3 linked regions of the Sus scrofa genome follow. The protein of the gene in region 3 binds, or shares a complex with, the protein of the main gene of each other region. Links are inferred from orthologs where the notes say so. Each region holds a gene or a part of one and is shown on either strand. Other genes may lie near its edges.

Region 1 (4,739 bases), on a different chromosome or scaffold from region 3:
TATACCGATTTTTCCAAAATATTAACACATTACAAACTTCATGAATACTCGAAAGCTGTTAGTCTTTGTGTAATTCACTTATTCCTTTAAAGACTTAACCAATATTCTCAAGAGAAAAACAAAACAAAACAAAACTGGTTTTCAAAACACTTACATACACGCCATCTCATTTGATTCTTAATTTATCATTCCCCTTTAACAGATTATCTCTCATTTGAGACTTTGGAAGTTAACCAACTTGTTATGTGAAGTATTACAAAGAAATGTATATACATAAATAATTCCCACTTATAACTATAAAAAAGCTGTTCATAATTTCAGTAAAAATTTTTTGATTGTAAAGCCCAAATTCCACTTATTCCATCTTTAACTAAAATCTAATCCAAAGAAAAGAGAGAAGGAGGTGGGGGGGAGGGGCTGAGGGCAGTGGTGTAAATTCCATTTTTTTCTCCCATGTCTCAAGAGCAAGATTACTACTACTACCAATCATGTTTTTCCTAAGGTCTTCTTAAGAAACCAAAACAGTTTTATGCCAATGTCAAATATTAAATGAATATTCACAGGGTATTTTCAGAATGAATACACAAAAAGCATTGATATTGCTGTTGCTCTTCTTCCAAGTACTTTATAAGGAGCTTGTGTGTAGTGTGGTTGGGAGTAAACAAAGGACAAACATTAAGAACAGGTTAATAACAGCACCAAGAACCAGCCACTGCCCCAAACACTTTACCTGAGACTGCAGTAACTGAAGTAATTCCAATTATATTTTCTACCTCAAATCCTAAATACTACTTCCTTGGAATAAAAAGTGTCTTCTGGCACCTTCCCAATGACGATAAATTAATTTGCAAAGCTGTTAAGGTCAAAGACTCTAATCTCAGTATTCTGACTTCCAGGTACTACTTTTTTCAAGTTAAAGGCGATCTGTAGAGAAACACACAATACTACTTCCATACTTAACTAAAATTCCTGTTACAGCTGTCTGGCCATATCCCTTCAACTAGCAATTTCTCACAAGGAAGCACAGAAAGCAATACAGAAATAATTCTTTCAGTGGACTGGATAGAGCCACCCAGTAGGGGACAGACGGGTGATGAATTTCCACAAAAGCGGAAGTGACTGTGCACACCTAACACCTTTCTGTTCTGCCCAGGACTTCCCCATTCCCAATGTCTTCGCCCCAGGAAAACCTATCCATGATAGGCAATCTAGAAATACCAAGGAATTTTTTCTTCTTCCACTTATCAGTTGTACATAATCACAATAATCTGTGTTAACTATTTTATCAGATGGTAGGTAGTTGCAATTTGTGCCTCATCTACCTATACCTTAGGCAATGCACCTGGAATATAACAAGTATAAAATGCTGATTAGTTTTCAGAATGATCTAGCTTTCTGATTTTCAACTTTTTCACTGCCACCAAACAAAATTCACATATAGAGTAACGGGAAGCACTGGCTCATAATCTAGATCTCAAGCAAATCGATAGTTCTAACTGCAGTGTAAATAACGATGAAATACATTTGGAACCGCAGAGGGTTCCACGGACAGAGATAAACCTCAGAATTCTGGCTCTGGCTGGGCCCTGCGATGCAAGCCAACAGGAGGCAACAAACACAGCACATCTGGGGTTTCAGGAAGTTCTAAGGGTGCCGGATTAAAAGGCGGCACCGGGCCCCCTTGGCTTCGCGCAGTGCGGCCCGGAAGCTTCCCCAGGCTCAGACCCAGGCCGCTTCCCTCCTGCCCCGCCCCGGAGCAGGGACGAGCCCGGACTTGCTCCCATTGTCCGGAGCCGGTGGGGCGGGGCGGGCCGCTCACCTGGTGGGGCCGCGCGGGCCCGGGTCACGGGTTCGCGCCGCGTCTTCAGTCCGGCGCCGAGGCCATTTTGTCCGAGCGCCGGCCGCAGCCGCGGGGCCCTGGGTGGCCGCACAGGCCCAATCCCGCCGGCTCCGCGAAGGAGTCCGGCCCAGCCCGCGAGCAGCCGCCTCGCCCACCCGCCCGCAGGGTCTGGGGGCGCGCCCGCTGCAGTGACGCGCAACCCGCGCCCCACCCGGGCCACGTCCCCGCTCCCGGGCCCTGCGGCAGACAAAGGGGCCTTGGGGCGCCGCCGGGTGCCGGAGCGAGGTGGTGGTCACAAAGCGGCTCCCGTGCCACCGCGCAGCCCGGCGCCCCGGGCTTGGCCCTCAGCGCTCGCCCGCCAGTACCAGCGGGACCCGGGCGGAGCCAGGCTCCGAACAAAGGCGGCGGCACGGGGTACGGGTACTCACAGGAATATGTCTACTCATTGAAGATTGTGGCTTAATCATACAGCCGGTCCCGAGGCGGCGGCGACACAGGCGGCAGCGGTAGGGCAGGGGTGGCGGTGGTCCTCGCGGGCTAGCGGCGGCTTCGCTGGAGGCAGCGAGGGCAGTGGACTCGATCCTGCAGCGAGCGGCTCCGGGGAGAGCGCGCAGCCTCGCCGGCCCGCAGCCCAATGAGCCAATACGTGCGCCGAGGCGCCCTTGCGTCACAAGCCCTCTTATTTATAGCAAGAGTGACGTGAACGCCCAGGCGGCCAATCGCAGTCGGGCCTCAATCCTAGCGCCGACGAGCGGGGGCGGAGGCCCGCCTCGCCGACGTCACAGCGCGGCGGCGGCCGCCGGTGTGAACCGGTTGATGAATGGCGACCGGCTGCAATCAGAGCGCCTACCAGGCGGGGGTGGGAAGGGTCATTGGAGGGTCTGCAGGGGAAGCCCCGTACGGGGATGAGAGGCTGCTCTACGTAACTAAACCCCTGACGAGTGCACTCTCATCTCAGGAGGAGGCCCGAAGTTGGCCTCAACTAGAATGCAGTGCACTTCGGACTGGAGCGTAGTCTCAATCCCAGGCCTACTTCTTTTGCCGTAAGTCAGATCCCAGTCATTTTGACCAGCGGTTTGCCTGGGCACCTGCGCCCTGCGATCCCCAACGTGAAATCTTCCTGTGGCTCCACCTGCCCGCGACAACACCTGTGATGTTTCGGTCCTGCCCCCGGTAGCGCGAGCGGAGAGGACTTATTTCAGCAAACATTCGTGTATAGAAAACGGAGAGTGTCTTGTGATGCAGATAAAGCCCTCTGTTCCCCAGTCTTTTTTGGTCACGCCTTCATGCTACGCACGCGGGCAACTGTAGTTGGCTCAAGCGTGGCATTTCTAAATCACAGGCATCCTTTGTACTGCTGCTCACTTGATGTGTTGTCACAGATAATAAAAGGTTAGGCAGCGTTTTAAAAATTAAGAATCTTCGATTTTGCCAGACTGATGTGATTCTTTGCCTCAAAGCTATTGCTTTCCTTTTTGTTCATTTTCAGAACTGTTCCACTGTTCGTAATTTAGACTTTTAGGAAGTAAAGCCTTATCACAGTTGTTCTGTCTTGCACCCGGGCAATTCTGTCTTTTATGATCTGAAAACTCTTTCTCTTCTGGAAGGAGTAAACAGGAGTTTTACCTGCTTTGAAGAACTAGGTTTTCTACTCAGGCCTTTTGTTTGCTGTTTTCACTGAGCATAGATTGGAGAGGGCTTTAGGGATCAAATTGTTTTCTTGGTCAGTGTACTGCAGCATCTTAGGATTTATTAAAACGTCTACTTAAGAGACTGTGCTTGTGTAGACAACTTTTTAAAAATTTTTATTGGAGCATAGTTGATTTACAATGTGTTTCAGGTGTATAGCAAAGTGATTCAGTTATACCTATATCCCTTCTTTTCCCCACATAAATTATTACAGAATATTGAGTACAGTTCCCTGTGCTATACAGCAGGTCCTTGTCAGTTATCTGTTTTATAAAGAATATTGTGTATATGTTAATCCCAAACTCCTAATTTATCCCTCCTCCAACCTTTCTTCTCTGGTAACCATAAGTTTGTTTTAAAAGTCTGTGAATCTGTTTCGGTTTTGTAAATAAGTTCATTTATATCATTTTTTTTTTAGATTCCACATATAAATGATATTATGACATTTGTGATATTCAACTTTGTTTATAAGCATATACTCTGCAAACAAAGTGCTTTCAAAAAAATAAAGAACTGGATCAGGCAGGCTTTCACAGGAACAGAAGTCATCTTCATTTTAAAGAAATTGCTTGCCTAGGACACTTCTGAATCCATCTACATCAAGGAAGATTAAAGAGCTTGAGAAATATATGATGTCCCTTCACAAACTATAAACGAGTAAAAATGTAAATATTTAAAATCCTAAAAAAAATAGGAGTATTGAAAAAATTGTCCTAGGATGAGAGAAACCTTGTTAAGAAGATAAGGGAACTCAAGTCACAAAGGAAAAGTCAGATTTCATTATGTAAAAATTTAAAACTTTGATATGGAAAAGCTTGAGCAACATATACAATAGTGTAGGTAAAAAAATAAAAAAATAAAAATAAAAAAGGAGTTCCCGTTGTGGCTCAGTGGTTAACGAATCCAACTAGGAACCATGAAGTTGAGCGTTTGATCCCTGGCCTCGCTCAGTGGGTTAAGGATCCGGCACTGCCATTGCCATGAGCTGTGGTGTAGGTTGCAGACTCAGCTTGGATCCTGTGTTCCTGTGGCTGTGGCGTAGGCCAGCGGCTACAGCTCCGATTATACCCCTAGCCTGGGAACCTCCATATGCCTCAGGAGCGGCCCTAGAAAAGACCAAAAAAAAAAAAAAGTGTAGGTAAAATCACATATTCAGTGGGCTACTCTCACTTCAAAAGTTTGTCAGCACAGTGATGCTAGTTGAAAGAGT
Region 2 (5,014 bases), on a different chromosome or scaffold from region 3:
CACAACTTTTGAACCCCACTAGTTTTTCTAGTCTAAGAATATTGAAGGATAAAATCTGATTATAATTGTACAATGTTTAGGGTAGTTTTGAATCTTCTGTGAAATGAAACATCTGCACTACTTTATCTTGCATGAAAGAATAGCATGCTACCTTCTTTGAAAGTCTTTGAATAACGAAGATCCTAAGCCCTACTTGATAGCCATATTATAAGGAAATAAGGACGGTAAACCAGAAAAATCAGCTATTTATCATCAACTATAACATATGCTCATTGTGGAGTTCCCGTTGTGGCACAGCAGAAACAAATCCAACTACGAACTATGAGGTTGCTGCAGGTTCGATCCCTGGCCTCCTCAGTGGGTTAAGGATCTGACATTGCCTTGAGCTGTGGTGTAGGTCGAAGACACGGCTCAGATCCTGTGTTGCTGTGGTGTAGGCCGGTGGCCGTAGCTCCGACTGGACCCCTAGCCTGGGAACCTCCATATGCTACAGGTGCAGCCCTGAAAACAAACAAACAGAAAACCACACACACACACAACCACCTTATTTCTTGATAGTTATTTCAACATGTGAAAAAATGCTTTTTGAAAAATAAAGATGCTTTCAAGACTGAGATCAGCCACTTAAACTCATATTAAAAGATCAATTCTGACTGGAAATTAACCAAACCTTAAAAACCAATTGCCATTGGATTAGAAGTCTGTTTTCAAGAAACAGATTGTAATATGTCCTTAGTATACCCTAATCAAGAACATATTAAAACATAGTTCAAGATAATGAAATGTAATATATTAATTCCCTAGGAACTTTAATAATGTTAAAAAGACCTAGTCATTTTTTATTACTCAAATGACTTTATCACATTTGTAATTATATAATGATAATAATCCAATTTTACAGGATTTCCTTCCCATAACCCAAGAAGACCTAGTCATTTCTTTTAAAAATTACAACTTAAAAACCTTCTGTAAACAAACTGACATGCCTGCCTTCATAACACCTATGACCCCAAAAGCCAAATCATATCTTTTACAGTCTCAAAGTTGACAATTCAGATCATTCTTGTAAATGATAGACACTTTTTTACTGTTTAAATTGTTTTTATTGTTTTATTTTTCTGAACATCTTCTCTTCCTCAAAGACTTTATAGATACTGTGTTTCATGTTGGTACAAGTTGGGCCTTCAGGGAAGCAAACACTGACAAAGAATTAGAAATACAGAAGGTTTATTAACATACAGCACCTGTGAAAGAAAATAGCTGTGGGATTAAGATGGGGGTAGCAAGTAACCACAGAACATTATACACACCTAACAAAGCCTCTACTGGGAACTCCCAAGCAAAAATTGCCCAATAGAGACGACCAAGCTGGGCAGAAACAGCTAGACCTTTGTACCAGCAACTTGTTTCGTCATTGGTTGAGGGGGCAACTTCAAGAAGGAAGAATCCCAAGAAAAGTACCAACCCCAAGGTTGAAGCAGAGCCTGAAAGAGCTGACAGCTGCAAACTATCAGCTCATTACACGCCAGGCAACTGCATGAGTCCTTTCTTGAATTTTGCTTCTCCTTGTCAGCTGCTTGTGGTATGTGAACTTCTTTCGGTAGCCTAGCTTGGTACCTTACATATAGCCCTTACACCATTCAAGACTGGTGGGTTGCTAAGCATGTGGACTTTGCCATTTACTACAACCAACCCTGTTGTGTCATTGTGTCACTGCTTGAACATACTTAGTACCTTCTGAGATGGGCAGCTCTGAGAGTGAAGAGAAAAGTTAACAAATCCACCTGACCCCACAATCAACATCCTGAAATCTCACAGCAAAAGTCAGATGAAATAAAGTTCCCAGTACCACATATTAATAAGATAAAGAATTTCCTTCCCTATTTACAGAGTAACTCTTCACCCCTTTGACTGCTGTAGAAGTATTAAGACAACTCCCTCACCTCCATTTGGCAGTAAAAGAATGAGATCCACAAAGATAGAATTAGAGACATGAGCTTATGAGAGATGAACCATTTTGTAAGATAGTGGCTACAGAGGTGGCAGTTAACAAGACAGAACAGAGAAAAGGTTGACTCCTCAATTCTTGAGTGGAGAAAGCCAGAGAGAAGCAAGCCGATTCCCGCTACAGGGCTCCCAGCAGCTCAGGGAAAAGAAGCACCTGAGGCTGAAAATACCAAACTGGCGTGAGTCTTATTTTTTGCTGTTGTTGTTTTTAATTTTTATTTTTGGCCACTCTTGTGGCATTTTGAACCCACACTGCAGCAGCGTCTCAAGCCACAGCAGTAACACCACCATATCCTTAATCCACTGTGCCACAAGAGAACTCCAGCTGTGAGTCTTAAAGACTCACTTGAGCCCATTGATCTGCCCCACTCTGCAAAGCCAGGTCACCATCCCACCAGTGCCCTGAACAAAGACCAGCATGAAAGTTTCCTTCTGAGATTAAACTGGAAAGGGTTTGACCTCACAGATACCAGGTAGAACCTAAAAGCAAAGAGTAAATTCAGTAGGAGTAGAAGAAAGCTAAGGAAATCACCAAAAAGGTAAATGAAAAGCAGTTGGGTAAAGGAAATTAGCATATCAACCTGGAGACATAAAACCCACTTAGATGTTTCAAAACAAAGAAAGAAAAACAGTAATGCTGGTGGGAAGAAATTATCAAGTAATTCTAGCAAAGCTTCTATAACCCAATTTTCAGACCCAAAACACCACAAATGTGCACAACTTTAAGTGAAAAAGACACATTACCATTAAAGAAATAGCAATTTTAAAACCTTCCTACAGAAGCGCCACGCCACAGTGTACAATCAAGTTCTAATAAACAATCCAGAACAAAAAGTTCCAATCTTACAGCTATTCCAGAGTTGGTCTCTTCTGAGGCCTCTCTCCCCAGCCGGCAGACACACGCCTTCTCCGAGTCCTCACCTCCACCGATGCGTACCCCCCTAACGTGGGCTGCTCTTTGCGGCCTAAAGCTCCTCCCCTTATAAAGGCTCCAGTCAAATTGGCTTAGGGTCCACCATGACCTCCTCATTTTTACTTAATTACCTCCTCAACAGCCCTATCTGCCTACCCAATCACTATCTGAGGTACGGGGGTTAGCACTTGAACCTGTGTATTTGGGGGTGGGAGTAGGCAATTCAGCCCTTAACAACATTCCAGGTTGGCAATATATTCAGATTGTGAGGGATAGTTACAAAAACCTTACACAAGTGTATTCAATGATACAACATTTAAAAGCCTTTGCTTTAAAGTCAGGAAAAAGATAAGGGTGCCAATTATCACTGCTTCTGTGCTGTTATAGCAAAGGCCCTGGACAGCATTATCAGACAAAAATATAAACAATAAAAATGGAAAGAAGCAAACAGCTCATCTGCAGATTGTGGTCGTGTGTGTAAAACACAAATCTACATATCAGTTATTAAAATGAAAAAATCGTGTTACTCCTTAAAAATCAATATAAAATTGGGTTTCTAGTTACTTAGCAACAAAGTTAGGAGATGTATTTTATTTTTTTAATTTTTTTATTTTTGGAAAGAACACTTTTATTTATTTATTTATTTATTTTTCATTTTTTTATCTTTAATTTTTTTAACAATGATCATCACAATCCAGTTTCACAGGATTTCCATCCCACAACCCAACCACATCCCTAAACCCCCCAAACTGTCTCCTCTGGAGACCATAAGTTTTTCAAAATCTGTGAGTCAGCATCTGTTCTATAAAGAAGTTCAGTCTGTCCTTTTTTCAGATTTCACATGTCAGTGAAAACATTTGATGTTGGTGTCTCATGGTATGGCTCACCTCACTTAGCATGATAATTTCTAGGTCCATCCATGTTGCTAAAAAATGCCAGTATCTCGTTCCTTTTAATGGCTGAGTAATATTCCATTGTGTATATGTGCCACATCTTCTTGATCCACTCCTCTGTCGATGGACATTTAGGTTGTTCCCATGTCTTGGCTATTGAAAAGAGTGCTGCAATGAACACTGGAGTATGTGTGTCTTTTCGAGTCATGGTTTTCTCTGCATAGATGCCCAGGAGTGGGATTGCTGGATCAAATGGTAGTTCTACGTTTAGTTTTCTGAGGAATCTCCACACTGTTTTCCACAGTGGTTGCACCAATTTACAATCCCACCAACAGTGCAATAGGGTTCCTTTTTCTCCAGGAGATGTATTTTAAAATAACCTTTAAAGTAGAAATTCTAAAGGCACCTAAACATAATCCTTACGACCATAGGATTGTGAGAGAAATCTAAAACTTGAATACATGTGATGTTCATGGATGGAAAGACTGTTTTAGAGGTGTAATTCTCAAGTTGATGTATCAATTCAACATGATAACATTCAAAATCACAGAGGGTATTATGTCGAAACACTTCTTAACTACCCTTAATTTGAAGATAGTGCCCTCCTCTCTGTGGCTGAAGCACTTATGCATATTTATATGCTGGTATTTATCATGCTGTTTTGTGTATAGTTGTTAACAGTATACGTGCTATAGCCAGCTGCCCGGGTTTGAATCTTAGCTTTACCTCTTTCCAGTTCTGTGACCTCAGGCGTGTTACGTAACTTCTCTGTAACTTATTTACCCCATTTGATAGATAAGGAAACAAACGCATACATCACTGGGCTATTAGGATTAATAGTTACTGTTATGCATTTAGAACAGTGCCTGGCACATAGTCAGCGTTGTGTAACTGTTGGATGCTGTTACTGTTTCTGTTTTCTCTCTCACTAGGCTCAGTTCCTTAAAGGAAGGACACAGTGTCTCACTGGTTCGCCCAGCCACATAGTATATAGACTTCAGCACCTGGCCCATATGTATTATGTTAGGCGCACAGTTACGTAACACAAAGTAAATTGGTGGTGGGGGCTGGGGGTCATCCATGTGCCTGAAGTGTGTCATGTTTGAAGAAGCCAGAGTCGAAGTTCCTGCCATGACACAGTGGGTTAAAAATCCGACGGCATTGCCACAACACTGTAAGTCAACCATACTTTAATAAAATA
Region 3 (4,257 bases):
AGGAACCACCACAGCACAGGGACAGCAAGTGCTGTCCCAGCCCAGAGGCAGAAGCTTCCTCCCCAGCAAGGCCTGGGTTTCACTTTGTTACAGGGAACTCTCTTGTTTCCGTGCCCCTTACAGACAGCCTCGGATGCCATGTCACGCCAAGCTGGCATTGTCCTCAGCAAGACACATCATTAGAAAGTGAGGCCTTTACGTCTGGATAGATTTGTTTACAAAAGGGGGCACTTGCAGTGCTGCACCCCACTAATGTCAAGTTCCACCATAGCAGCTTGGACACCAGCAGCAGGCCTGGGTTCCGTTAGGGGGCGCCCTGATGTCCACCAGGTGAGGCCAGTACTTCCCTGAGGGATGTGGTACCTTCTGAGGAAGCCACTCCCTGACTGAGGTTCCAGAAGAAATGCTGAGCCAGGGGCGCATCTGACACTGAAGCCACTGAGCTGCTGGCTGGAAAGCAAGCCCAGCACACACTGCTGGCCTCCCCCCCGCCACCCACAGCTCCCGCCCGGCAGAGCCCAGCCTGGGGAGCACCATCCTACCTGGACGAAGGAGAAGAGAACTGCTGCTTAGCCCCAGGGCTGCCCTTTGCTCAGTGGGACCCACTGGAGAAAAGGCTATCCTCTCGCCTAGTGACTGGATGCAGCGCAGACTGACAGTTCTATGTGAAAACAGCGCTCAGGAGCAATTCATTTCAGTGTATAAATGTTGCCGACAAAATGCACGTCTCCCTTGGGTTAACACTTAAAACACAGATAAGATAATTAAGAGCTCAGTCACTCAAGAAATACCGCCTGACATTAATTTCACTACACGTGATGAATTTGGTATTAAAATAAGACAGAGACACACACGAAATGGCCACAACACACATTTGGTTTCTGAATCCCTGTTTGGGGCCAACCGACCCTGGCTGTACAGGCAGCCTCTCTGGCGTGGACCGCGTCTGAGGCGGGAGGCACAGAGGTCCTCGGGCGGGGACACGGCCACTGCTGGGCCCCATGGGCCCAGGGACAGAGGGGAAGAGGGACAGTTGGCTCCCTGGAAGGAGGGGCAGGGCTGCAGGCCCCAGAGTTCTCTCCTTTAAACACATGGGTCTAAAGATGCCCTCCTGGCGCAGAGCACAGAGCACAGCTGGAAGGTCCCACTTGTTTTCTGACAGTGACAGCGGGCAGGGGAGGGGCGTGGACACCATACCGCGAGTTTACTCAAGAGCCCTGTGGAAGATTTCCATTTGGCATCTGTGTAGCAGCATCTCGGGTTTACAAGAGCAAGGATGGGGCGGTGGGCGACGGCGCTCGGTAAGCCAGGGCGGGGAAGAGGCCAGGTTGTGGGAATGTCGCGTGAAGCCACCTTGCCTCTTGCCAATGATAAACCATGGGTGTAAAATTCATTAACATTCATTTTGGTGATAAAAATTCCTTAGAGTGGGAGCAAGATCACATTCCAAGCAAGCGTTAAACCTTTCTGAGGGAAAGGGACACCGTTAAACATTAACTTAAAACAACACTGAGCTCAGATCAGCGAGTGCGGGTCCCCGTGCGGGCGCCGCCCCACAGTGCCCACAGCCTTGTCAGGTCGGTGCCCACGCGGCTTTCTTCATTCATCCTTCAAGTTCGACAGCGACACCCCCTGGGGCACAGAGGAAGGGTGCCTCTCCCCAGGGGGCCCAAGGCAGGCCACCTGGAGGGGCAAGTCCATCCTCTCAGGGTCACATCATGGGGTCACGGCAGAGTTCAGACAGAACAACTTCAAACTCTGCAAAAGATACTTTTTAAAAACATGATCTCTCGGGGGGGAAAAAAATAGTAACTCTCGCAACAATTTTCAACTCCATGCAAATTAAGGGAGGAGGAGCGTGAATAATGGTAAAAGGTACAGCTGAAAAAATAAACATGATTCTATTAGGGCGGAAGAAGTTCATCTCCATAATTTCGAATGCCACGCTCTGGCTGTCAGGTTCACATCTCGGGTATCCATTCCTGCCCTCCCCAACCTCCTCTGCTGCTTCCAGGAAGGGGACAAAGTCTTTGGTCTCAGGATGTTGCAGGATGCAGCATGGCACGCAAGCTCACACTAATGGGATTCACGGTCAGATGGAGGAGGCCGGGCCTCAGGTTGGGGCCAGGGCCAGGGCCAGGGAGGGACATTAGATGGCGCCTTCGCTGTGCAGGCTGTGGTTGGCCTTGCTGTGCGTCACACAGTTCTGTTCATTGAGCAGGTTGGCCGTCTCGTCCGGCAACCCGTCGTGCAGCTCGGTAAGAGTCAATTCAATTTTAGTGTTTTCACTGTCTGAAGACTGAGGAGTTTTGTCCATCCGGGATGCCATCAAGGCATTTTGGTACTGCTGTCTTGAGATCTGGGGCCAGGAAATAGTGCAGAAAACAAACCACAATAATGTTTATTTTTTGGCTCCTATCTCCACATGGTATTAATTATACCTTAAATCCCCCTACAGGCCCCTCGCGGTTGCTCCAGGAGAAAACCATCCTTGAGTATAAACCGAGCCTTTTAAGCCTTTTAAAGGTCAAGTCGACTTTAGTGAACAAGTCAGTTTTTACTGATATATGTATGCCATTTCCAGATTTTATCTCAAAATTGCCCAGCGACTAGAAATGGAGATTGGCGTCCATGAGCTAGAGCTGGCCAGTGCCCCCAGGCTGCCTTTATTTCAGACTGAGGGAAGAACCTGGTCTCCAGGGCAGCAGGTATTCTGACAGGTCTCTTCAGGCTCCTTGTGTGGGGAGCTCTGAAGGACCGGCTAGAAGGGTTTACTCTTTTTCTCACCATCTCCAGCTCTCGCTCCCTGAAAAAGCCACATTGATGCGGCAGCCCAGCGGACAGAGCCAAGAAGATGGAGGGTCTTCCCAGCCTGAGTCATGGGGCATAAGTAGCTTGGAGACAGGCATCTGCAAGAGGACCAGGGGAGGCTGGGCAGCCCATGCTCCCGGTGGAAGCTACGCTGCAGCTGCCAGGCCGCTCCCCTCTCTCACCTTAACAAACTGGAGATCAGAGAGGGCTCGCACTGAGTAGTCAGGGATGTAGACTTGGAGGAATGAAGAGTTGAGCTGATTGTTGCTGCTTCCCAACGTCGGTGTCATCGCATCGATCCGGTCACTGCGACTCAGAGAGTCCGAGTGATTCAAGCCACACGGGCGTGGAGGTGACTTGTTTTCACCTGGAATAGGAGAAAAAAACCCGACCCGCCTTTAAAGTGAGGTAGCTATACTCAACATCAGCTCCTTATTTTCTGAATAACAAGTAATAATGAAGAGACAAGCTCAAGGAACTTAGACGAGGCGCCTCAGCCATGCAGCTCAGCGGCAGGGCCTCCTAGAGCACACTCCCGCTTCTCCTCAGCAAGGGGTTCCCGGCCCCGTCCATGTGGACAGACCCAACCCTCCCGAGTCCCCAACAGCAAAGACCCCGCAGCTGTACACACATGGTGTCAGGAGCACAGACCAGGGAGCCGAAACCTGAGACACAGAAGCTACTTGATACAAAACATGGGCTAGAGGAAGGCAGCAATGCATTATTTCGCCAGAAGCAAAAATAAAGGACTCTTGAGAATGTTCACAAATCAGTACATGTTTTAAAGGGATCAAAAGAGTGTGGAGTTCCCGTCATGGCGCAGCGGAAATGAATCCAACTGGGAACCATGAGGTTGCGGGTTCGATCCCTGGCCTCGCTCAGTGGGTTAAGGATCTGGCATTGCCATGAGCTGTGGTGTAGGTCACAGACAGCTCGGATCTGGCCTTGCTGTGGCTGTGGTGCAGGCTGGCAGCTATGGCTCCGATTAGACCCCTAGCCTGGGAGCCGCCATATGCTGTGGGTGTGGCCCTAAAAAGACAAAAGACAAAAAACTAAGTAAATAAAAAAGCTGTGTCTGCTCATACAATACCTCCCACCCAAACCTGTTCTCTTTGCCTCTGACCCCAGTAAAATCCCTGTGCGGCAGCCCCAGGACGTCTTAGGATTTCAAGACCCCTGGAAGACACCAAACCCTGAAAAGTTTTGATTAGGTGGCCTTGGACACTGAGGGAGTCTTTGATGAAACTGACTCTTCCACTAAAACAAAGTGAAAGGAAACTCGGGTGCTCTTAGAGGCAGGTTCACCGTAGTTTCTAATAAATTTCATTAAAAGGAAAAACCACCTCCTCACCACAGCTTCCTCCACTTTTGCCTTTTCAGTCAAATCTATTACACAAACACCACCTGCTGCCCACACCAGACAGGTCCCGAACTGCACAATGTCAC

The links. The genes of interacting proteins can lie anywhere in the genome.
Region 1: the proteins of CNNM2 (region 3) and PTP4A1 are in contact, whole or in part, in a crystal structure (PDB 5MMZ), measured with the Mus musculus proteins. The link is inferred for Sus scrofa from reciprocal best matches to the Homo sapiens genes CNNM2 and PTP4A1. Residues at the interface, in NP_291047.2 of Mus musculus: Phe526, Asp528, Val551, Asn553, Glu556, Gly557, Asp558, Pro559, Phe560, Tyr561; in NP_035330.1 of Mus musculus: Asp72, Gly73, Ala74, Gly107, Leu108, Gly109, Arg110, Arg137, Arg138, Gly139, Ala140, Phe141, Asn142, Lys144, Gln145.
Region 2: the proteins of CNNM2 (region 3) and ARL15 are in contact, whole or in part, in a crystal structure (PDB 8F6D), measured with the Homo sapiens proteins. The link is inferred for Sus scrofa from reciprocal best matches to the Homo sapiens genes CNNM2 and ARL15. Residues at the interface, in NP_060119.3 of Homo sapiens: Asn490, Val492, Pro521, Leu522, His523, Phe524, Val525, Phe526, Thr529, Glu537, Lys542, Ser543, Gln549; in NP_061960.1 of Homo sapiens: Tyr92, Ser94, Arg95, Gln98, Gln128, His129, Pro130, Gln131, Cys133.

The regions. Positions count from the first base shown.
Region 1 is NC_010443.5:45,168,226-45,172,964, reverse strand, and holds the start of PTP4A1 (protein tyrosine phosphatase type IVA 1), read right to left. Parts: upstream 3,053-4,739; 5' UTR 2,269-3,052; intron 1-2,268. UniProt on the Homo sapiens protein: Protein tyrosine phosphatase which stimulates progression from G1 into S phase during mitosis. May play a role in the development and maintenance of differentiating epithelial tissues.
Region 2 is NC_010458.4:33,572,497-33,577,510, forward strand, and holds the start of ARL15 (ADP-ribosylation factor-like protein 15), read right to left. Parts: upstream 3,053-5,014; 5' UTR 3,038-3,052; coding exon 2,855-3,037; intron 1-2,854.
Region 3 is NC_010456.5:114,050,510-114,054,766, reverse strand, and holds part of CNNM2 (metal transporter CNNM2), read right to left. Parts: intron 3,179-4,257; coding exon 2,994-3,178; intron 2,360-2,993; coding exon 2,150-2,359; 3' UTR 1-2,149.